Linked DNA regions of Rattus norvegicus. The protein of the gene in region 2 purifies or fractionates together with the protein of the main gene of each other region. This does not show direct contact. Links are inferred from orthologs where the notes say so. Each region holds a gene or a part of one and is shown on either strand. Other genes may lie near its edges.

What was found. The genes of interacting proteins can lie anywhere in the genome.
Region 1: the proteins of Wwp2 (region 2) and Ptpn14 purify together in Homo sapiens (affinity purification with mass spectrometry; 3 studies listed by BioGRID). This does not show direct contact. The link is inferred for Rattus norvegicus from reciprocal best matches to the Homo sapiens genes WWP2 and PTPN14.
Region 3: the proteins of Wwp2 (region 2) and Ndfip2 purify together in Homo sapiens (affinity purification with western blotting; 3 studies listed by BioGRID and IntAct, with this or other methods). This does not show direct contact. The link is inferred for Rattus norvegicus from reciprocal best matches to the Homo sapiens genes WWP2 and NDFIP2.
Region 4: the proteins of Wwp2 (region 2) and Polr2c purify together in Homo sapiens (affinity purification with mass spectrometry; 3 studies listed by BioGRID and IntAct, with this or other methods). This does not show direct contact. The link is inferred for Rattus norvegicus from reciprocal best matches to the Homo sapiens genes WWP2 and POLR2C.

Annotation. Positions count from the first base shown.
Region 1 is NC_086031.1:103,938,115-103,943,410, reverse strand, and holds part of Ptpn14 (tyrosine-protein phosphatase non-receptor type 14), read right to left. Parts: intron 4,325-5,296; coding exon 4,090-4,324; intron 2,185-4,089; coding exon 2,021-2,184; intron 1-2,020. UniProt on the Homo sapiens protein: Protein tyrosine phosphatase which may play a role in the regulation of lymphangiogenesis, cell-cell adhesion, cell-matrix adhesion, cell migration, cell growth and also regulates TGF-beta gene expression, thereby modulating epithelial-mesenchymal transition.
Region 2 is NC_086037.1:52,254,080-52,260,066, reverse strand, and holds the start of Wwp2 (NEDD4-like E3 ubiquitin-protein ligase WWP2), read right to left. Parts: upstream 3,505-5,987; 5' UTR 3,440-3,504; intron 1-3,439. UniProt on the Homo sapiens protein: E3 ubiquitin-protein ligase which accepts ubiquitin from an E2 ubiquitin-conjugating enzyme in the form of a thioester and then directly transfers the ubiquitin to targeted substrates.
Region 3 is NC_086033.1:88,491,053-88,496,348, reverse strand, and holds part of Ndfip2 (NEDD4 family-interacting protein 2), read right to left. Parts: intron 5,057-5,296; exon of another isoform or gene 4,984-5,056; intron 4,183-4,983; coding exon 4,058-4,182; intron 1,484-4,057; coding exon 1,417-1,483; intron 1-1,416. UniProt on the Homo sapiens protein: Activates HECT domain-containing E3 ubiquitin-protein ligases, including ITCH, NEDD4, NEDD4L, SMURF2, WWP1 and WWP2, and consequently modulates the stability of their targets. As a result, may control many cellular processes.
Region 4 is NC_086037.1:10,162,731-10,168,809, forward strand, and holds the end of Polr2c (DNA-directed RNA polymerase II subunit RPB3), read right to left. Parts: intron 5,261-6,079; coding exon 5,192-5,260; intron 5,065-5,191; coding exon 5,012-5,064; intron 3,496-5,011; coding exon 3,367-3,495; intron 3,034-3,366; coding exon 2,982-3,033; intron 2,808-2,981; coding exon 2,639-2,807; intron 2,518-2,638; coding exon 2,443-2,517; intron 1,874-2,442; coding exon 1,729-1,873; 3' UTR 1,418-1,728; downstream 1-1,417. Other genes in the region: Dok4 (docking protein 4), read left to right, coding at 82-200. UniProt on the Homo sapiens protein: Core component of RNA polymerase II (Pol II), a DNA-dependent RNA polymerase which synthesizes mRNA precursors and many functional non-coding RNAs using the four ribonucleoside triphosphates as substrates.

The DNA.
Region 1 (5,296 bases), on a different chromosome or scaffold from region 2:
TGCTGGCAAAATGTACCCTGCTCGAGTCACAGACCAAAATATGAAACACACGAACCACCTCAGCTATGAGGAAAGGCAGGCTAAGCTGGGACGGGGGAAGAGGAGGCCATGACAGTTTCATATCTATCTGTCAAACATCTTTGTTTAAAGAACAAACTAAACATGTCTGCCCTTCTCCTGACAGGGAGACAGGAGTGGGAGGAACCAGGCCTGAAGAGCACATTGCGGTCTGGTCTACGGTTGGTTAACAGCAGCCGTGGGAAATGGACAGAGAAGGGTGGCTATACTAGTGCTGGGGGAAGGACATGAATTGTCCGAGTCGCCCTGATGTCTCTGAATATCATGAGAACACAAGGTTTTCCAGGACTGCCACATACTACCAAGGAATGTGCTGGCCTGCAGCTGGGCACTGAGGGGAACACACTGCAGGGGAGTGGGGGTGGGGAGTGGGGAGATGGGGGAGGACTGAGCCACTCAGCCTCAGGGAGCCCACTGAATCCCTGTTGGCTGGATCCCCCAGTCCACACGCATTCCGAGTCAGGCTGGCTTTGATGCATGGTGAGCGACACGATCTCCAGCCTTGACAGAGAGGTTGCAGATGGGTCTTCAAAGAGCTAAGGCCTTTCACAGCGGACAAGATGGCAGCACTAAATAAAGCTGATTTCCAAATCTCTGAGTCTACTAGTATACACAAACACAAACACACACACACACACACACACACACACACACACACACACTAAAGCATCTATTACACGCAGTTAGAGTTCCTCGCTGCATAACTTGGAAACTGAACAGCTTGCTGGAAACAGTGAGCAGGCAGGAACTGATGTCAGAGGAGGAGGAGAGTTTGCTTCCTGCCATCAGACAGCGGCTTAAAGCTACACAGCGTCAGCTACATCGCAGGATAGCTTCTGGGCCTGGATTTCTTCATCTGGGCCTAGCTTTTCATGGGACAGAGGAAAGGATGTCCCTTTATTAACCTTACAGCCTAGGGCTTAGGGCCCAGTGTAGGGATTACATAGCAAGACCCACTAAAAAGCACAAGGAAACTCCCTTGACAGGTGAGGCGGATAGCTCAGTGTAGAGCGCTTGCCTGACAGGTGCGGAGTTCTGGGTTATATCCCTAGAACTTTCAAAAATAAATACACACACACACACACACACAGAGAGAGAGAGAGAGAGAGAGAGAGAGAGAGAGAGAGAGAGAGAGAGAGAGAGAGCGCAGAATCCCAAACCACTGCCCCTGCACACAATCTTATGTGAATGAATGCAGAACTGTTGTCCACGTCTCCCGCTGTAACTCCAGAATCTATGGCAGTACGAGGTAACACACACCCTGTGCCATTACAACACAGAACAGCCGGTGCTGGCCCACATAGCCAGCCTGTGAGCTACATTCATAATATACTGCCAAGCTGGACAAGGGCAAACACCCCCAAATAAAAACTGCACCATAAGGAACAACAACCGTGTTCTACCTAGAGGCATCGTCACCCAGGATTTGGGGCAAAGCACATCCCAGAAACACAAGACACACACATCCAAGTCCCATGTGGGAGAGCCATGTACCGTGGCCAACAGCCCATGGCAGAGCTCATCTGCCTGCTTCAGGAAAGGGATGCCCACGGCAGTCAGGTTTGCTGGATCTTTCTAGAACATCAAGGTACAGTGCTCAGAGAGAAGCTTGGGGCCGTGGTTCAGTAAACTGCTCGCCCACCACAGAAGTGTGAGGATTCAAGTTAAGTTCCCCAAAGCCATAGTTGTTGTGAACGGTAACTATGCATGATAGTGTGGACTTAATCCCAGCACTGGGAAGTGGAGACTGGAGGCGCCCTGGGGCTCCCTGGCCAGACAGCCTAGCCTGTTTAGTGAGGTGAGGAGAGACACTGACTTGAAAGCAGGCGATGGTGTCTAAAGGATGTCCGCCGAGGTTGATCTCTGGCCTCCACACATGCGCACACAGGTCCCTGTGCACTTTCCATCTCATAAACTAACAAGAGAGAGGCGGACGACTCACTTCATTATGCTCTAGGCAGTAGATCATGAGCTCGGAGAGAATCACCACGCCGGTCCTTCCCACCCCTGCGCTGCAGTGAACCACGATGGGGGGGTGCCTGGTCTTGACGCCTTCCAGCACGCTGTTGGTGTGGCGTCTGACTGACTGGATTTCCTCCAAGTAGGCTGCGGGACAAAATGTAAATCTCGTCACCCAAGTGTGTCACATGACTTTACGTCCAGGGGGATAGGGGGAGCGGTGCCAGGATTGAGGGTGAATCTTTTGTTTTCGGTCATAATGATTTGCAATTCTTATAAGACGCTAATCATTTGGCTGGTAACACCCCGAAGCCAGGAGAGACCAGCTGGGAGTCAATTAGTCCACAGGAGAACTTGTTCTTTAAATAGTTCTTTTTTAAAAATTAAATTCTGTTTCCCTCTCTGCAAATCCCCAAGTCCCCCTAGCAGATGATCCTAGACATTACTTATAGCATTTCATACTACTAACAGACTGGGATCAGAACATCCGCTAACTCCCCTTGAAATGCCCTCCTGTCAGAGCCAAGTCCTGTTGGGGAAAGTGCAGCCACCTGCCCCATCCTCTTCCCCATCACAAAATGAGTGAATGTCATCGAAGGCTCGAATTCGTTTCCAGATGTATTATAAAAAAAAGGCTTTGAGGGAATCCACTGGCATGAAGTTATGTGACCATACAATAGGAACCCCACTTCTGCGGACAGCAAGCCTGTAGGTGGAGGGTTCAAGGCATGCTTTCACAGCTTCTAGCAGCTGCCCACCCCAGCGGGGGTGCACAAAGGTATGTTTATTGTCCCAAAGGGACACAAAAGGAAAACAGCCACAGGGTCCGTTAATGGTTCTTGCCATAATCACATAAGGAGGAAAAATGGATCTTTGGACTCTACAACAGCCAGCATTCCCATGGAGATATACAACATCACTGCATCAAGATTCTTACCAAATCAACCCTTGGGCAACCCACAAAGGGATGCTCTGTATCCCCCAGTAGCTTAGTCTGTCACTCCTCAAACCAGTTCTGACTTAAAGATCTGACTACACTGGAGAGCATCTCCTGGGCCCCACCTGTCAGCAGACCTGTCAATCATTAAGCCGGTCTATTGGTATTAATCTGGATTTTCTTCTGAGAGACAACTTTAACAAGTCCACTAGCAGAAGATTCTCTGAATCGAATAATTATCGCTGTTTGGAGGATGGGAAGGTCTGCAGAGGTCACACCCTGCTTCACTGACAACTGGGATAAACAACTGGTCACTTAACCTCTCTGGGGCTTTGAATTCTTTGCCCCATTGCTGCCCTACTCTGTGTTCTTTGTGCTCCTCAAGGCCTGTCCCCATGTTACCAGTAAGTGGAATCCTTCTGTCAAAACATCAGAAGCTGATAGAACTGGAGAAGTGGTTCTTCCCCACTTGGTATTGACAACCTCATCTCTGTCATGAGCCTTCTCAGACCCCACAGCAGATTCTAAACATTCCAAATAAACGCCAAGTTTGTGATGTTGTCCAACATGTGCACAGTGGGTCTCTGCACACAGTGGGCCTCTGTTCACACAGTGGGGCCTCTTGGTGGGTACAGTATGCCCACTTGTTGTTGGTTACCTTCCTTGGGAACTACCTGGGACACACAGCACAAATATAGTGTCATGAACAGTATCTTAAACCAGCTGTGCCCTGAAACCAGAGATGCACGTAACGGTTTTTCCTGATATAGGTGCCCCAGGCAGGACAAACGCCACCGTGCACATGCATTTATGTCTCCATCTTTTGACTTGGTGTGCAGTCCTCAGGATTCATCTATGTCATGGCACGTTAGATAGTGACTGATCAGCGAGACGCTGAAAGTCTGGATCGAAGCAGAGTTAGGTTACCACATTCTTGCAGACTCGAGTAAGAGATTAGCGGAGAAGGGATATTTATTACTCTTCTCTGTCCTATATAGAGATGAGGGGACCAACACCTCAGCATTCTAACACTCCCGTGGCTTGAGAGTAGGCTTGCCCACTCAACTGCCAGGCTGCTGACACATGCAGTAAAACTCAGTCTGGGAAAAACTTACACAAAAATCCTTGGACATCCTCTGGGCATCCGTGGTGGGGCCAGTCGGTGTACTGCAAGTGCCACACCGTCCTCTCCTGCCCCGAGAGCAGGTGCTTCACCTTTAGGCCCGTGGTTGCATAGCAACCAGAATCTGTCCGGAACTTGGTGGTGACCTTGAACTTGCCGTAGGTGGCTGAGCTGTGCTTGGACCCCAGTTTGGGCCAGTATCGATGGCTTTTGGTCCGTCCACCCTCCTGAGTCACACACAAAGGCAAAACGGAAACAAGTCAGGGGTGAACTGTTATCCATCCTCCTGAGGTTAGGATCCATGAGCAGGAGAACAAACAGCAATTTCTAAGTCACATCTCCACAGGGCTCTGCATGATGTCTACCAGGATGGTTCCTTTAGATACGGGCCAAGGCTGATACCCCTTACAACGACAGTTACCTTGTGGGGAATTTAGGTAGAACACAGTAAGTGCAAAGTCCAGATGTACGAAAAAAAAACCACGGTGTGTCTGAGAATGAGAAAGGCCTGCAGGGTGGCTGGAGAGGAGCAAGAGAGAGGGGAGGCGCTGGGCTGGGAGGCAGGAAAGACCTCACCTTCCTGAAGACAGCTTGGATGTTAGCCTACGGAGGACAGAAAGCCACCGGAGGCTTCTGAGTGGTAAGCAGCACTAGTAGTCATTCCAGAGCTGCTGCTCCTGCTGCCGACAACCCAGGGCTCCCTATGATATACGACCCCTGTCACGCAAAGCTGCTCGCACTTAAGTTTAGCTTGGCCAGCTCGTTTTGGCTCAACCTACAAGTAAAGCACTGAAGAGCCTCTTAGGAGCCATTTTCCTTCCCAGCTTTTAACATCTTTTCTGAGACCACACACAACCTACCATTTTCAAAGCCTTATTGTTTATTTATTTTTTTCAATTTTGCACGCTTCAGAAATCCCCAGTGGTGGGTGGGAAGCATGGTGGGGCTGGTGGCTGAGGAGGGGATGGGTGAAGAGGCTGGGTGTTCACAGAAGACAGAAGGAGCGGTGAGCGGGGCAGGGACTCCGCCCGGCTGATGGTAAGAAGAAGCTGTCATGGCCAGGATGCACTCAGTGGGTGGGGTGCATTGACAGCATTCGTGAAGCACTGAATTCAACCCATGGGACTGAACGAACCAGGCGCGGGGGTGTATGCTTGTCATCGTGGGAGGTGGAGACAGAGCTTCAAAGCTTCAAGGTT
Region 2 (5,987 bases):
CAAGACAAACTTCTACAGTTTATAAATCACTCTGCAATGCACTGAGGCTGTACACAAGTATAGAGCAGGCAGGGTTTTCTCAGCAGTATAGGTTACATTATACATTTACAATCTTTTCTCTGACCCTTTTCTGTTTTTTTTTTTTTAAGATTTATTTATTTCATGTATGTGAATATACTCTAGCTGTGTTCAGACACACCAGAAGAGAGCATCGGATCCCATTACAGATGGTTGTGAGCCACCATGTGGTTGCTGGGATTTGAACTCAGGACCTCTGGAAGAGCAGCCAGTGCTCTTAACCACTGAGACATCTCTCCAGTCCTTTTCTGTTTTATCTACATGTCTTTTCTTTCCTTTTCTTCTCGTAACCCACATTATACCTGAACATTTGAACTTCTAGCAATCCTCCTGCCTCTACCTCCCAAGTGCTCAGATTACAGGTATATTTGCCACTTATACCCAATCTAATAGCATACTTTTTATATTTGAAAACTATTTTAAGATGAAATTTTTATCGCTTCTATGAACTAAAAATACTATGTCTAGAAATAAAAAACCTAGGTGGTAGAAAAGGTGGCTCATCAGGTAAAGGTATCTGCTACCACCTGACAACTGGAACTCGATTCCCAGGATCCATATAGTAGGAGAGAACCAACTCTTGCATTTGTTCACTAGTTCTAGAATCCAACATCAGGGCTTCAGCAAGCCTCAGTTTCTTCATCCTCGAATGAAGCAATGCAACCTTCATAGAGCTGGCATTGAATGAGACACTGGGCCAGGCGCAATGGTGAGTGAAGGCCTGGACCCTAACTCTTGAAAGGGAGAGACAAGAGAATCTATCCTAAGTTCCTCGGCAACATAACCAGTTTGAGGCCAGCCTGAGCTATAACTTACCTTCTATCAAAAAGCCAAAAAAATCACAGTTTGACCCTGTCTCAAAAGAGAGAAAGGGGGGGTTGGGGATTTAGTTCAGTGGTAGAGCGCTTGCCTAGCAAGTGCAAGACCCTGGGTTCGGTCCCCAGCTCCGAAAAAAAGAAAAGGGGAAAAAAAAAAAGAGAAAGGAAGGAAGGAAGGAAGGGAGGGAGAGAGGGAGGGGAAGGGGAGGGGAGGTTGGTTGAGCACAGTTAATAGTACAGTTTTAATTTCAGCACTTGGGAGGCAGAAGCAGGTGGATCTTCATGAGTTCTAGGCCAGCCAGGTCTACACAGTAAAACTTTGTCTCAAATAAATAACCAAAAAAATAAAATTAAATTAAATTAAATGAGAATCTGGTATCAGTTCTTTGCAGATGGAGACATAGTCATTAAGTGAAAGACTAATATGGCCTGAGTGGTACAGGCCTCAAATCCCAACTACTGTGGAGACGAAGGCAAAAGGATCACAAGATCAAGGCTTGCCTGAGCTACGGGAATTTGAAATCACACCAGACAACTTACTGAGATCCTGTCTCAAAAGGAAAAAATAAAAATTACAAAAAAGAAGGGCTATGGAGCTCAGTGGTAAGGTACAATGTTCAACAAAAACCAAAAAAAAAAAAAAAAAAAAAAAAAAAAAAAGTAAAAGAGACAGACAAGCCAATTGAAGCCTTTTCCTCATGGTTTTCCCATAGACCAATAACACTGAACAGAGAAAGTGACAGAAAACTTATGTTCAAACCCTTTGTTCACTACATACAGCAAGCAGTGTGACCTTTAAAACCTCATTTATTTCTCAAACACTGACCAAGTACTCCTAACACAGAGCTAGTAGCCAAAGAAGTCATGTAATATTGGATCACAGCCCTTGAATGATTTACAGTCCTAGCAGGAAGAAGACAATAAACAAGGAAGAAAAACAAAATGAAGTGTCAGGTTGGGACTAACGAGATACAGGTAAGAGCACCTATAGCTCTTCCACAGGACCAAAGTTCAGTTCCCAGCATGCAAACCCAGAGGCTCACAACCACCTATATCCCTAGCTCCAAGGGACCCAACGCTCTCATCTGGCCTCAGTGAGCTCATACACACAGGAACACACACACACAAACAAAATTACATTTTTTTTTTTTTTTGGTTCTTTTTTTCGGAGCTGGGGACCGAACCCAGGGCCTTGCGCTTCCTAGGTAAGCGCTCTACCACTGAGCTAAATTCCCAGCCCCAAAATTACATCTTTTATTTTAAGTCAACTCTCTCAGTTTGTTATCTATGAAGTGGGAATGACTTCTCGAGACTGCTACAAAAATTAACTTTTAAATGCTTGTAATATATCCCCAAGTCTTCAACCCCTAATGTATTAATGTTTTTCCCCCCAGCGACCTTTGATTCTGGTTCTTGTCACTGTACCATTTGAACCCTGACACCTTCGTTGCACTCATAAACTTCATTTCACTTCTGCAAACCTTAGCAAATGTGAAGGGGAAAGAGGATGTTTGTTTATTCAGGTCTTACTGGTTAGCCCAGGCTGGCCTGGAACTTGAGGCCATCTTCAGGACTCAGCCTAGAGGACTAAGAATCTTAAGATGGGTATTTTAGCCTCAAAAACTAAGATCTAGGTCACAGTTCTAAGGAACACAACAGAAACTTCTCAGTCACCCCACCTAGTCACAGCTGGTCAAGATAAGCAGTCACACAGTAAAGGAAGCTGCATAATTTAAGCTTTAGAGGAAACGTATCAAAGCGATATGGGAAGACTTTCAACGGTCCAAGACTTCAGCAGTCAATGCATTGCTGCGGTAACGCTGGTCCATGTCGCTGCTGACAACAGTGTAGGTTAAAAGTCTTGTTATGATCACAGCAAAGCACCTACACGTCTTTAATTTTTTTTTTTTTATTTTTGCCTCGAAGATGACCCGATCTGGGAGCATCTCAAAGAAAGATGATAGGAAGGGCTAAGCTCCCAACAAGTGGAAACCCTACCCAAACAGGGCAAAGTGGGTGTGACCAGAGTCAGACTACCAAGACTCAGGGATCCCTCCTGAAGTTTAAAAACTAAACAGGACCGGTATCAAAGTCTCGGGTCGCCATCATCTTCAAAGAGGACGGAAGGAAGAGACTCTCAGAATGGGGTCCAGGCCGCAACGTCCAGATTTTTCTTCCAGTCTCTACTAGCCAGACGCCCACTCCCAGGCAGCCCCTTCCGGGGAGCATGCGAGTCTCCCCGGCCGAAGTCGGCCCCCCTTCACAGACGCGGCTCCTCCACACCGCAGGCGCCCAGGCTGGGGTCCCCTTCCGGAAACGCCAGCAACGGGCGACTCCCGCCGGGCCCCGCGCCCACCCCGCCCGGGCGCGAGTCGGGACACCCCTCCTCGGAGGCCGGAACCGCGCGCCAGGCCCCTCCCACAGGAAGCCGCCGCCCCCCGGCGCCCGCCCCGCGCCGCCCCCGGCCCCTCGCGCCGCCCGCCGCCCCTGGCTGTCCCGCGCCACCCGCTCGCTGCCGAGCCCCCAGTGCCCGCGCAACCTACCTGCCGCGGCCACACCAGCGGCGCCTAACTCCGCTCCACTTCCGCCTTCCAGCGCCCGCACTCAGACCGGGTCACGTGGGCGCGCGCGGTCACCTGACCCGGAAGAGGCTGGCCGGGGCGCGCAGGTGCGGACCACCTAGAGCCGGGCTGTGAGCATTTGACCCGGTGAGGGCCGGAGTGAAAGGACCACCAGGGCTATGCTGGAGCGGGCGTATAAAATGAGGGTTCACCGGTACCAGGGGCTTTATTTATTCCTTTGGAAGCAGGTAGAATTGTTTTTTCCCCATAGTACAGGTGGGAGAAGATCATCCGGTCAGTTAAGTCGGCAAATCTTGTAGGGGTTGCTGGATAAAAACCAGTACGCTCCTTACATTTGAATGTCAGATAAACCGTGTCACTATAAGCATGTCCCCAAATTTGCAAAGAATGTATTGACACCATAGATGTACGCTGGTCAAAACCTTAAGCATCTCGTGTAATTTTGACAGCCGGTGCCAACTATGTGCAAGGCCTTGTTCTCAGTTCTGGAAGTATAAATACCCTGGCCTTTGTAAGTTATCTGCTATTGTTCCAAAAAACAAAACTGGGAAGGGGGATGGGAGTGGGGCACGGGACAGGACACAGACGACATGACATCCCTTCAAAACTTTTCTCGAGTCCATAAGTGCCCCCATGGGGAATCAACTCCCATTATCTCCGTATATGCAGTAAACTGAACCTTATGAATTAGCAAACAGGGAGTCTATGTAACCCTGGCTGACCTGGAACCCAATGCTGTCCTTGGCCTCCTAATTCCTGGCATTGTAGGCGTACCTCACCACAGCCTGGACAGCAGAAACTTTCTGGGTTTTGCAAGATTGACAGTCGAATCTAACTGTCTGCACAGAACTAGTCAAGGGCGTTAAAACTGACCTGTGTTCCCAGCCATTTTGCTAACTTTCTGGTTTTTCTTTGGAACGGTCTTGTTTCAAGTGCTCCAACTAACCTCGAACTTTTAATTCCATTACCTCAACCTCTGAGTAGTTAGGATTACCAGCTTATACCATTGGGGCGGGAGGCGGGGGTGAGAGAGGAGACCAGTGGAGGCAGAGTTTGTAACCTAGGCTGGCATTCACCTCCCAGTTGATTGTTCAGCTTACAGATAGGTGCCATACCACCTGGCTTTTTGTTGGGTTTGGTTTTGTTAACTGAAATATTAAATTTTTTTTTCTTTTCTTTTCTTTTTTTTTTTTTTTCGGAGCTGGGGACCGAACCCAGGGCCTTGCGCTTGCTAGGCAAGCGCTCTACCACTGAGCTAAATCCCCAACCCCCATATTAAATTTTTATTACATTTTATTCTATAGATGTTTCGCTGGCATGTATACTGTGTACCAGCTGAGTGTCAGGAGCCTTTGCTGAGGCGTATCTACCAAAAGGAAGTCTTTATTAGCCACTCTGTGACGACACTAGGTGTTCAGGAGCCCTGTGTAGTATCGAGCCTTTCACAGGCCAAGGTTTTAAATGCAAAACTCATGTTCTGGGTTGACATACTCCAGTTAGCAGAAAGAGTCAGAAGCAGAACTACAGAAGCCAAAAGGCAAGGTTAGCACATTTAGAGACTCCCAGACACATGGACTTGGGTGGATTAGGTCTTTGTTTTCACTTTGGCAGCTGATGCTGTCTGTGTGCTGAGTTTTATGGCCTGAGTGGACTCCCACCATGGAGTCAGCTCTTAGCGAGTGAGTCAAATTATGGACTAAAGAGGGAGAAGTGGGCCAGGAAGTGAAGTGCACCTTTACTCCCAGCACTCAGAAAGCAGAAGCCAGTTATCTTTGTGAGTTGAAGGCCAGCCTGGTCTACAGAGCAAGTTCCAGGACAGCCAGAGCTACATAGAAAAGGTGTTTCAAAACATAAAAAGCATAGTTGGTCCTAAGGACCATTAATTTTACTGAACGGGATACACTGATAGATAACTGGCCTATCATTCAGCCAATCAGAATGAGAATTAGAGGTCCATCCAGTGCTGACAGCAGAGTAGTTAGCCAGGGGACCAAGAAAACAGACTTTTTTTTTTTTTTAAGATTTGTTTAAAAAAGAAAAAAAAAGATTTGTTTATTTTATGAGTACACTGTAGCTGTCTTCATGCACACCAGAAGAGGGCATCAGATCTCATTACAGATGATTGTGAGCCACCATGTGGTTACTGGGAATTGAACTCAGAACCTCTGGAAGAGCAGTCAGTGCTCTTAACCTCCGAGCCATCTCTGCAGCCCAAGACTGGTATTATTTGATTTATGTCATTGTCTGTTTTTCTTTTTGAAGTTTTCCTCTACCATGACAAGACTTTTTCCTAATTACTCTTGATCAATTAGCATAAAAATGACAGGTGTCCCCCAAAGCCATACATAGTTTCCTTTATCTCCTGAGAAGTATATCCAAGTCACACTTTTATCAGTCAATGGGCTGACAGTCTGATTTCTGGCTGGGGATGATGAACTCTATCCTAGGATCCCTTCCTGTGGTATTGATTGCCCTGGTTTCCTCTGTTTTCCAAAGGCCAGAATCTTCC
Region 3 (5,296 bases), on a different chromosome or scaffold from region 2:
ACTATTTTCATTTTTTAAATACAAAAGCACTATTGAAAAGCAGCAGACATGTTGGTCCATGGTGGCTGGCTCTTGGTTTGCTCTCCTTAGGCATTTTCTAACGCCAATTCCTTCCTAAAGCCCACCCAGAGGCTCCTAGACTAGCATCCTACCGGTATCCAGCATTGTTTTATGTATGTGACAGCAGCATCATAGTGCTGATGAAGTCTGCATACTCCTGTCAGTAAATGCTAGGCCTTGGCTCTGCGGTGGACCCAGGATCACCGGTGGCACTCTGCCCCACAGTTACCTTCCTCCAACCGCACTCACCCTTATAAATGGGCATCAAAAGCAAATACACACAAGTGTGTTTAAATGCTTCACAGAACTCATAGGGCTTTTGTTTTCAACTTTTAGATAAGAGACTGGATAGAAAGCAAAGAATTCAAGAAGTGAGGACACAATTAACACTATATAAACCCATCTTAACCCTTTATAATTGTGACTCCCCAACCTAGTTACAACAAGAACATAACTTTACCATAATATTACACTAGAAATTTAGTGACCTTAACTGGCTACCAATAATATATTTCCCAAACAACCTTCAAAACACAACGGCCCGACTAAGAACCTACAGAGAAGACTGCCACCTACTGAAACCTAAAAGAATTAAAATGAGTCTCAACAGTCAAGACATTTGAAATATGGGTCACGAGTAGAATATGATGCTAAAATTAACTACCACCTACTATTGAAAACCCACAGATGTCACCAACATAATAAAAATTGTGCCTTACTGAGGAGACAACTAAGCAGAAGTACTGTGATCGTTGGCCATAGAGCCTTTCCCTGCACTGTGGGTTAATGATTAAGGAAAGGCACATTTCAAAAGCACAAAGGTTTCTGTGATCCAAAAACAAGAAGACAGCATTGCATGCAGAAACCCTCCTACATGCTACATTGTCATTAAAATTATACACGTGTGTTTCCTAAGATAATTCATAAAGATAACTATTTTAATTAGGTAGAAACTTCAAACTCTGTAGCACTTACTTATCGTCCCAGCACCTCTGTTCCCTCCGTTGCTAAGGAGCTAAGTGGGGGCAACCTTTACACTAGAATTAGTTCTGCACACTAGGAAGGAACACAACTTACTTGCACTTTATAATTTTAGGACTAGCAGTTAAGCTGAGCAATAAAGAAACACTATTTTAAACTGTACTGCCTTAAGGAGGAACGCTGCTCTGGGCTCAGTCAGTCAGAGAAGATGCACGGAACCCTCAGGAGACTGGAGGCCCCAGGGAGGCTAGAGGCCTGAGGGGAGGGGACGTCCTCAGGAGACGGGCAGGGAGAAGGTATGGGATCTGGAATGTAAATCTGTAGTATAAAAAAATAAAAGATTAAATAAAAAGGAATATAAAAAAATAAACTTACCAAGTACAAGAAATATCCACCAAAGCCAATATTGTCCATTGAAATAGCCAGTAAAATAGTCCGAAAACTATGGGGTAAACATAAATATATTAATCATATTTGTATAACTACATTTGAATATTTGTATTATCCTAGGTTTCAGAATAAATTATCTCTTTAAATAATCTTTAATGCTTAAAAATAGCATATAAAAACAGCACAAAAGGAAAGGGCAGGAATAATACTTAATGGTGAAAAAATTCTTATGCGATTGTAAACTTCCGTAAAGTACTTTATAAACAAAACCTCCAAACTGCTTGCAAAAAGATAAATGCCTAAATGTTATCTATTGGAATCAAACTTTTTTTTTTCATTGAAAAGTCAGTTTCTTATGCAGTCCCAAAGCCACAGCCACATCCCAAATGGGCCAGAGCCACCTGCTGCTTTGGGTATTAACACAAAAGCCACAGTAGGTTAATCTTATCAGATGGGGATGTTCTGGTGACCTCTAAAATGGAGAGTTTTTGACCTTCTGTTACACCCCCTACTGTTAATCACTGCCAAAAATACTAGGCACAGAAAGACCCCCCAACTCATTAGAAACTTTTTATTTCAAACTAGATGCCTGACATTCAGCTCCCAACAGTGAGCGGAGAATAGCTAAATGAGCCTCGAAGTGGCATTTCAACAGTGGTTGCTGCCGGCCATGTCCTGTGTGAGGTGGGCCTTCAGCAGGTGGCCTCACAGCAGAGAGCACAGGGGCCTTCTCTAGAGCAGACACTGCACTCTCAGAGCCTGGTAGTACATCAGTGCAGCGTCCTTAGCAGGTAACTCACACTACATCTTAAAGTGCCTCCAAATAATTACTTTTAAGTGTTTCAGATAACATATTCTAAAAGTTACAAACAAAAAAGATAGTTTTGATTGATTTCTTTCTACTGATTTCCAAATTGAATCCAATTTACCTAAAAATTGTGAAAAAAGGTAGAATGATGCTTGAACCTGAAATTAATTAAAAGCATTTCCAATGATTTGTTGGTAATTTCTATAAGAGCTTAAAAATCTACAGCTTTGGTAATAGTAAAAGTACAAATTATACATGGTGTTGCAACTTGGGAAGCATATAAATCAAGATTATCAAAACATGTCTTTAAAACCTCTGAAGTACTTTCTTTGGAAGAATTTTAAATTAATCAAGAGCTATTACCTACGGTCTACGCTAAGAGTTTTAAAGATTCACAAGAGTTTGAATATCCCAGCCTTTGGAACATCTAAACCACCATTGCTGCAGACTCCCACATATAAGACACACAATGAGAAAACGATAACTGAAAAACCACTTTATATTCAAGAGAAGTTTCCTAAGAGTCTTAGAAGCTGTGGAAAACAAAAAAGGAAAGGCCCACAACTCTGTTTTCAGCACTCCGCATGTTACCTGACACTCAGCAAGCAGAATGCCAATGAGAGTGAGGTTCTAAAACCCCCAGGGTACAGGCCATACCGGATGGACGGACTTCCTTTCTGTGTACCAGGAATCACGCTAGCAAAGCATCAACTTAGGAAACTTTAGACAGTAGGTTTGAATTGTTTGCTATGTTCAATGAGAAATTCCATTTGAGTAATAGCAACAGTTCTAATACAGCTAAGTCTGAACAAACGTAACTCAACTCTTTTCAGTTTCTCCAGCAAGAAAATCTGCAAGAGGATTGTAGCTTTGTCACTGTGTATATACACCATCTAGCTGATTTAAGCTCATGGTAGAAACTCACAGGACATCATCTGAAGTAAATTTAAAACAAAAAACTATCAGAGGACAGTTCTCATAATGGTTCAACCGTCAATCATGTTATAATAGACCCCAAAAGATTAACAGTCAGAAACCTACAGTCTGATATGTACCAGTGTAGGAGTTGTGAAAAGAATCAAAGCTATAAAACAAGTTCAAAACTAATAAAAATATCATTCTGAGTATTAATATTTGTATAATGGCTACTTTAATAAATTATACTTGTTAATAAATTAATAAAACATCTGAAGCATTTAACAGAAACAAACATTTAGACCTGTGATTCTATTGACAACTTTAGCCAAGATTTAGCTCTTTCAACCAGAAAGCAATGTCTAAGTACTGATTATTTGTATAGTTTACATACTCTAGTAATTGTGTAACATTTAAGATTCTGTGAACAGACTTGTGATCTCGGTTTCGTCACACACAGAACTGCTCTTACAGTATGCTTCCGTGCTCCTCCCAGGTGTAGTGGACAGGAGTGAGTATCCGTATGCCTCTATGGATAAACGTGGTTTTGCCACGTGTGGCTTGTCTTTGTGATTACACACTTTACTCATCTGACTTTTCTTAAGCCTCAAAGTATAAACTCTGACACTGAATGACGCTGGTTACTGCATTAAGACTTTAGTCCTCCTCATTTTCAGGCTCCATTCTCCCAGCGCACTGGCTTTAGAGTGGTAGACACACAGCTTCGCAGACAACATGACACAATGAATAAAGCTACCCTTGATCACCCTTCTAGGTCCATCCTTGAAAAACCCAGGAGAGACTGCAGAAATGGCTCACTATGTAAAGACACTTGTCACCAAGTCTAATGAACTTGAAAATCCATATGGTAGAAGGTAAGGAGGAAACCATCGAGATGCTCACCCTGACAATAAGGATCCATTTGATCAGTGAGAGGCCAAATCCACAGATAGCACCGTATCTTCCAGCTATGGTATTGGTGATACAGAAGGATAAGCAGAATCCAAGCCAGTTGAATATGAATGCCACTGCAAATAACAGAAATATGATTTAAGGTCATAATTCCTACACAAATAAAGAGAAACATAGTAATAACAATACTTCATTCACTGCTAGAATGAAACCACTTTATTTTAACTTTATACGTGGGCTGCTCTTAGAGACCGCGCAGTTTGCTGTCTGCAGATCTATCGGTTACTAAGCAAATAAACTTCACCCCATGGGTCATCGCCGAAGTCAGGACAGGAGCTCAAACGGCAGGTCATGATGCACAGGCCATGGAGGGTGCAGCTTGCTTGCCAGCTTCCTTCCGCACGGCTCTCCTCCTGCTTCCTTGAACTCAGGAGCACATGGGCTAGGCCCTCCCCTACTGATCACTAATTACAAAAATGGCCTACAGGCTGATCTTATTCTGGGATGTTCTTAATTAAGGTTCCTTCTTCTCAAATAACTTTGGATTGTATCAAGTAGCCATAAATCCAGCATATTCTACAAGTCGCAATTTACATTTCAAAACGGTCCTTCTGGTTTTCCTTTTTGTTCCTGTTGTTTAAGTTTCAAGAACACTGATTTCCCTTTCAGCTTCCCTGCGGTCTAAATAGGAATGATCCGGGTAACAAACTGGAGTGTCTCATTCTGACACACAGAACACAAATGGCTAAACCTTGAGGGAGAAGTTTTCTCCAAAACCCACATTTTAAAGCACTAGCATTCCAAGTCACTTGCAAGTGGGTCAATTATTTATTGGATCAAATCTAGAGTTGAATTAACTGACAAGCAACTCCTATTCTATTCACTTAAAATGTTTTTTTTTTTTTTGGTTCTTTTTTTTTGGAGCTGGGGATCGAACCCAGGGCCTTGTGCTTCCTAGGCAAGCGCTCTACCACTGAGCTAAATCCCCAACCCCCACTTAAAATGTTTCTAAGAGGCACTTGATGATACTACCTGAATGAGATTACTTCTAATATTCTTACTAACCATTCGGAGATACACACATTTCTTCCCTTTTAATTTCTGTACATGAAATGTAATTATGTCATTAAATTTAATTGTAAATCTTTTCGAACATGACATGAGTTAAGAAGCAAAAAGATAAATGTTGTAACTAGAGGTCAAGAATTGAACCTATTAAAAATTTTTATT
Region 4 (6,079 bases), about 42 Mb from region 2:
GGGGCCTGCCCCTGTGGAGGTTTCTTGGGCAAGGGCTTTGGGTCTTGGATTCAGATTCTAAGCATGCATCTCTGTCCACAGGTGAAGGATATGGGGCAGCCCAGGCCAGCTCAGAAACAGACCTCCTGAACAGATTCATCCTGCTTAAGCCAAAGCCTAGGCAGGAGGACAGCAGTGAGACCAAGACCCCTCCCCAGTGACAGCTGCTAGGCTGCAAGAACTCACGACTGCTGGGCCACTTGCTGGAGGACAGCTCACTGCAGCAGTCCATGGACAGCCTCAAGGAGCTGGTGGCCAAGAGCCAGAGAGCAAGCTGTCCCTCTTGCCCTCAAGGGTGAGGCTGGACCTCAGTACATGGCTGGCCACACCACCTGAGCATGAGGGGCTAGAGCCACCGTGGAACTATACACTGTTAATGGTTTTAATATATATGGCTTATAACATATTCTGTATAAACGAGGCTATCCTCTATCCCTCCCCACCAACACATACCCATTTTTAATTCCACGACCAGGCATGGTCAAGGCTGTCTTTTGAGTATGAATGAGGGCTGCCATGCCTGTCCTCAGTGATACAACTCTCTCCTGCTGCCAAGATTGCTTGAGCTGCTAGGGTCAGAGGAGGGGACAATCAGACTGGTGCTGTCTGCTAGCTCTTCTCAGAAGCCTAAGGGCCACAATAGCAGGTAGCTTCTGTCCTCTGGGCCTACAGTGACACAGGAGAGTTCTAAACTTCACTGCACCACGTGGCAGCCTTGCACTTGGGAGTTTTAAGCAGAGGTGGCATCTGGTTTTTAAATGCACTTTCTGCACTGGCTCCTTCCCGCTCAGTAGGCTAAGATGTCTTCAGGCGGGCAGGGCTCCCTTACCTCAGCAGTAGAGGACAGTTGGGACCAGCCCAAAGGCTGCAGCGGGCCTGCTGTGGGGAGCACCTGGCTGCCCCCTTCACTGACCAGGGGTATAGTGCTCTAGCAAGGGAGTCCCTTGCCCTGGGCCAGCCACCCCAGGCCAGATTCCAAAACTAAGACCTTCCCATCTCCCCCACACGGTGCTGAGGCTCCCTGCTGAAATGCAATTAAAGCAACTGATTTTCTAGTGCTGGTATTTATTGACTACCGTGCAGAAGGGCTATCTTTCTATTCACATCCAACCTTTTGTTGCGTGTTTCTGTTTTTTAATACTTTAGGATCTGCTCTGTGGGAACAGACCTTGTAAATAACCACTGTTCATATGTGTGGCAGAATGATAAGGGGGCCTCTCTCAGGGGGCCCTGGAGCCAGGGAAGTGGCAGAGCCAGCCCAACTCTGACTGTGACCCAGGAACGACCACCAGAGGTCAGTTAGTTTGTACAGGAAATGGGCCTAAGCCCTTGGGAGGGAGGCAGAACGGGCTCAGTTAGTAGCACGATGACGCATGAAGGAGATTATGTTGTGCTCTTTATTGCCAAAAATAAAAACTTTTAAAAAGACAGCTACTGTTGATCAATAAATACTCCTTTTCTGTACTAGTGTGTGCTTCCCCCTAGGCTGCCTGAAAACCACTATGTAGGGCCAGGGATGCTAAACCCCTATAAAACCTGCCTTGTCTAACACCAGTGGAACCCCTGGCCATCTCTCCGATGTCCTTCCAGGAGGCAACGTGAGCAAGCGCAGTCCTTAGCCCAGAAACCAGAAGGGCCCCAGGGCCTGGAATCCGGTCAACTTTGAACCTAGTCTCCGCAGCAGGCGGGCTAGTTTATGGTGAGCACGTCACTCTGGATCTCATGGCTTAACTGGGTCTGTAAATCACTCAGCTTCTTCTTTAGCCCAGACAGGGCTGAGAGGACAATGGTCTCAGGGCGCAGTGAGCCACATGACTCCACATTGTAGTAAAACCTGAGAGACGAGGGGGTGAGAGCTCTCATGAGGCAAAGCCTGGGCTTCAAACAGACTTCGTTCTGAGACTGGACTCCATTCCTACGAGGCCTTTGATCTTAGGACAGGGCTGACTTCCCTTTCCCTAGAACCCCTTACGCAGAGTGGTCCAGGCCCACTTCACAGTTCCTCGGGGAAGCTACGAAAAGGGCATTGTTGTAAAAACCCTAAGATGACTCTGGGCGTGCATGTCTACACTGGAGACAGCAGGAAGAAAACCAAACACGATTCTGGCTACAGCTCTTCAGTTCTTCAGGGGAGGGCTATGGTTAATTTGTTCTGGCTTGAGCCTAAACAGGAAGGCCAGAAATAGCATGGGGCAGTAAGAAGGTCCCTTTCTTTATGGTGACTAGAGAGGGATGAAGACCAACTCAAGATGTGCGAGTTTGGCAGTTGGTTCTATCACGTGGTGGGGATGAGGGTGGGAGTGGGGGATGGGGTGTGGTGTGGTGAGCTTGGGTGTGTGACTGCCTAACAGCCTCCCACACCTACACTTACAATTACAGTCCCAAGCAGGACTGGGGTCTTACCTCTCTGGCTTGCCGTTGGGGTCATAGGGAGCCTGTGACTCATCCTCATCCAGCTCAGAGTACTCACTCTTTGGCCTGAGGGCAAGCACAGGTAAAGCAAAGGTGGCTGCTTCTACTGTTAGCAAGGCTCTCAGAGCACCCACCTACCTAAATCTCACTACAGCCATTGCTATTCCCCCCTCCCCCCAGAACATACCATTCCTCAGGCTTGGGATACACTGTATGCCTAAGTGCGTTGTCTGGATCGTATTCAAAAGCTACCCCCGCAGTAGGGTTCCACTTGGCATGCTCCTTGCCAAAGCCCTTCTTGGCATAGGCTCGAAGTCTCAGCTCCTGGCCTTTCCTCAGCTTGACAATAAGGATGTCTGCAGGGAGAGGTGAGAGTGAGGCAGAAACAAAAGGGACAAGTTCTCCAACTTGTGTCCTGCAGTACTGCATGAAGAGAAAAATATCAAGAGACCAGGCGACTCAAAAGGGTCTCTGCTCTGACCACCAGCTTGACTGCCCCATCCCTTTCCCATCCAGCCCGACCCCCTTACCATCCTGCTCCACATAGTCATTGGGGTCATTATCCCGGTTCCGGGATGTCACCTGTAGGAAGTCCAAACAAGTATGCATTAGCCTCTCACCTCTCAATCACCTCTGGCAACTGTCTCTCAGTAAATCCAGCCTGTAAGCTGCCAAGCCGGGGAAAGGAGGCTGAGAAGGAGATGGCAGAGTTGTCCAAAGAGCCCCGTGGCCTTTAAAAGGGTCTTTGGACAACATAGGGCACATGGCCCCAATACTGCTCTGTTCAGGAACTCAGGGCCAGCACGTCTAGGTGGCAGTTAAAGTAGATGATCACAGGGTAGGTTAGCATCTCATAAAAGACCCACTCTAATCTACCCCACTTGGAGCCAGGCAGAGAAGAGCAAAGGCACTAACCGGGATAACCCGGGGGCTGTTGGAGATGAGATCTCGGGAGGTAACATGGCGCGTCTGGTCTTCATTGCACCTCACGTCGAGCGTGAACTCCACGGAGCACTCTGGGCAGAACTCTTCACATGTGCAGTCCTGAGGCAGGAAGGGCAGTTGGATCGGGAAGACTGGACTCTCTGCTTTTCCTAACCAGCTCCTTTCAACTTCTTCTTGGTGAAAAGGGGTGACCCCAGTCCCAGGCCCTTTTGGGCTGTGACATCTGGTTCACCTCATGGTAACTTGTATACCTGCTGGCAACCACACTTCCTTTCCAGGGCCACTGCTACAGGTGACCACTAGGGGGCACACTGCTAATTCAGCAGTGCCTAGAGAGGACCAAGGTTTTATGCAACAATAGAGTTCTGTCTATGCAGATCAGCTTGGGAATTACTGAAAATACAAACAAGGGAAGAACAGGAAAACAGACAAAAAACAACAAAAACACCCCCAAAACCCAAACAACTTTGAAGTTCTAGATTACTTGGGGAGGAGGGGGCTGGCACTCACAGCCTAGGCTGGCCTGGAATTTAGGATGTAGGTGAAACTTAAATTACTGATCCTCCTGCTGCTACTACTGCCATGTGAACGATTATAGGCACGTGTCACAACATCCAGTAATCTTTACTTCAAAACTTCTTATGGAAAATTCTACCCACATACAGAACCAGAGAGGACAGATGGCCACTTGTCATATGCCCACCTTCCAGCTTCCTTAATTATCAACATTTGCCACTCTTTGTGGATGTTTTGTGTGTTCCGAGACAGAGTTTTTCTCACTAGGTAACCCTGTAAATGGTGGGATACAGGCACACAGCCGTAGAGGACTGCAGCACACTGATCTGTGCTCAAGTGCGCAGAAGGCAAGGGCAGGGCGCCTGCAGCTTATTTTCTTAGGGAAGAACAGGGCAGACGTAGTAAAACGTTATCATCTGGTAACCACAGAGAAACAAAACAAAGGGGGATTTATTACTGTTTCTCAGACACGCACGGGGACACATGCCTTTAATGACCAAGGGAAACACTCAGGAGGCAGGGCAGGCAGATTTCAGTTCAAGGCCAGCCAGGGCTACATAGCGAGAGTTCCTTAAAACTAACACAAAAAATGGAAACAATAAGTGGATGAAGGGTGTGAGGCTGGCTGTTAAAAGTGACTACGGCTCAGCTGCCAGAGCAACACCCAGTAGTTCACAACTGCCTATAACTAGCTCCAGGGGCTCCGAGCGATGCCCTCTTTTGACCCTAGCCCACCTTCACAGACAGAGGCAGACATACACACACATAAAAGTGGCTGTGTTCCCCCACCCTTTTGGTTGTTTTGAGACAGGGTTTCTCTGTACAGCCCTGGCTGTCCTGGAACTCAAACAGATCCACCTGCCTCTGCTTCCCAAGCTGAGCCTAGAGGCATGTGCCGCCACACCTGCCCGTGATGATGCCTGGATGTGCTGAGAGCAATGTGAAGCCCCATCAGAACCAAGGACCACACTACTAAGACATCATCTCAACAATGAGCATGCTACAGTCAGCTGGAAGGAAGATGCCCAGAAAGATCCCAGGGAGAACTGGACCCCCCTCCCCCGACCTGTGCTTCCTGTCTATCTGCCAACACACGTACCCGGGAGTACTGCAGCTTGTCCACAATGTCATCACTAGTGAGGGGGATTAAACCTGCAAGACACAGAAAAGTGCTCTGCAGAACAGCCAACAGCCAAGCCACCACAAGAACCTCAGAGGTCAGGCAGGCTAGGGACAGGGAGCATCCCACTTTGATCTCTTCCTCAACACCGGCACTCACCAAGCCTGTGCGCGATGAATTCATCATGAAGGACCGAGGAGTTGGCATCAATCTGAACCCAGTCAATGGCTGGAAAAGGCGGCAACAAGACAGGACGAATGAGAACTAGCCATCAGATTCATTTACAGACCTATAGCACTGTCTCACATCACTCAGTGCCCAGCAGCACTCGGGAGGCAGAGGCCAGCCTTGTCTACAAATTGAGTTCCAGGACAGCTAGGGCTACAAAAGAAAAACAGTGTCTCCAAAGCAAAAACAAAAACAAAAAAAACCAAAACAAACAAAAAAGAAAGAATCAAGTCAGTGCTTACAAAGTTGAAGGTGACCAGACCAGGCCAGACTAGGCTGTAAGAGGCTTCAAAGTTTAGCTCCAGGTTTAGGCCTTCCACATTTCATATATATAATCTTCCTGCCCCAGTGAACTGGGTATAGGCCTTGTTAGTGATACACATACACCCCTACCTACCTCAGAGAATTTAGAGATATTTAGGGAATTGAGTACTTTAAACCAGCTACCTGTGCCAATACCAAATCCAAGAATAAAAGCTATTTGGGCACCTAAAAGTTGAGGGAAACATGGGTTGGAGGAATGGCTCAGAGGTTAAGAGGTTCCTGGCAGGGTTGGGGATTTAGCTCAGAGGTAGAGCATTTGCCTAGCAAGCGTAAGGCCCTGGGTTCGGTCCCCAGCTCTGAAAAAAAGGGGGGGGGGAAGGGTTCCTGGCACCCATGTCAGGTAGCTCACAACCCCTGTAACTCCAGCTTCAGGGGGATCTGAGACTCCTGGGCACCTCTGGCACCTGCATTCACCTGTAAACACCTACACACAGAGACAGTTAAAAACAATTTAAAGGGCTGGAGAGATGGCTCAGCCCTTAAGAGCACTGACTG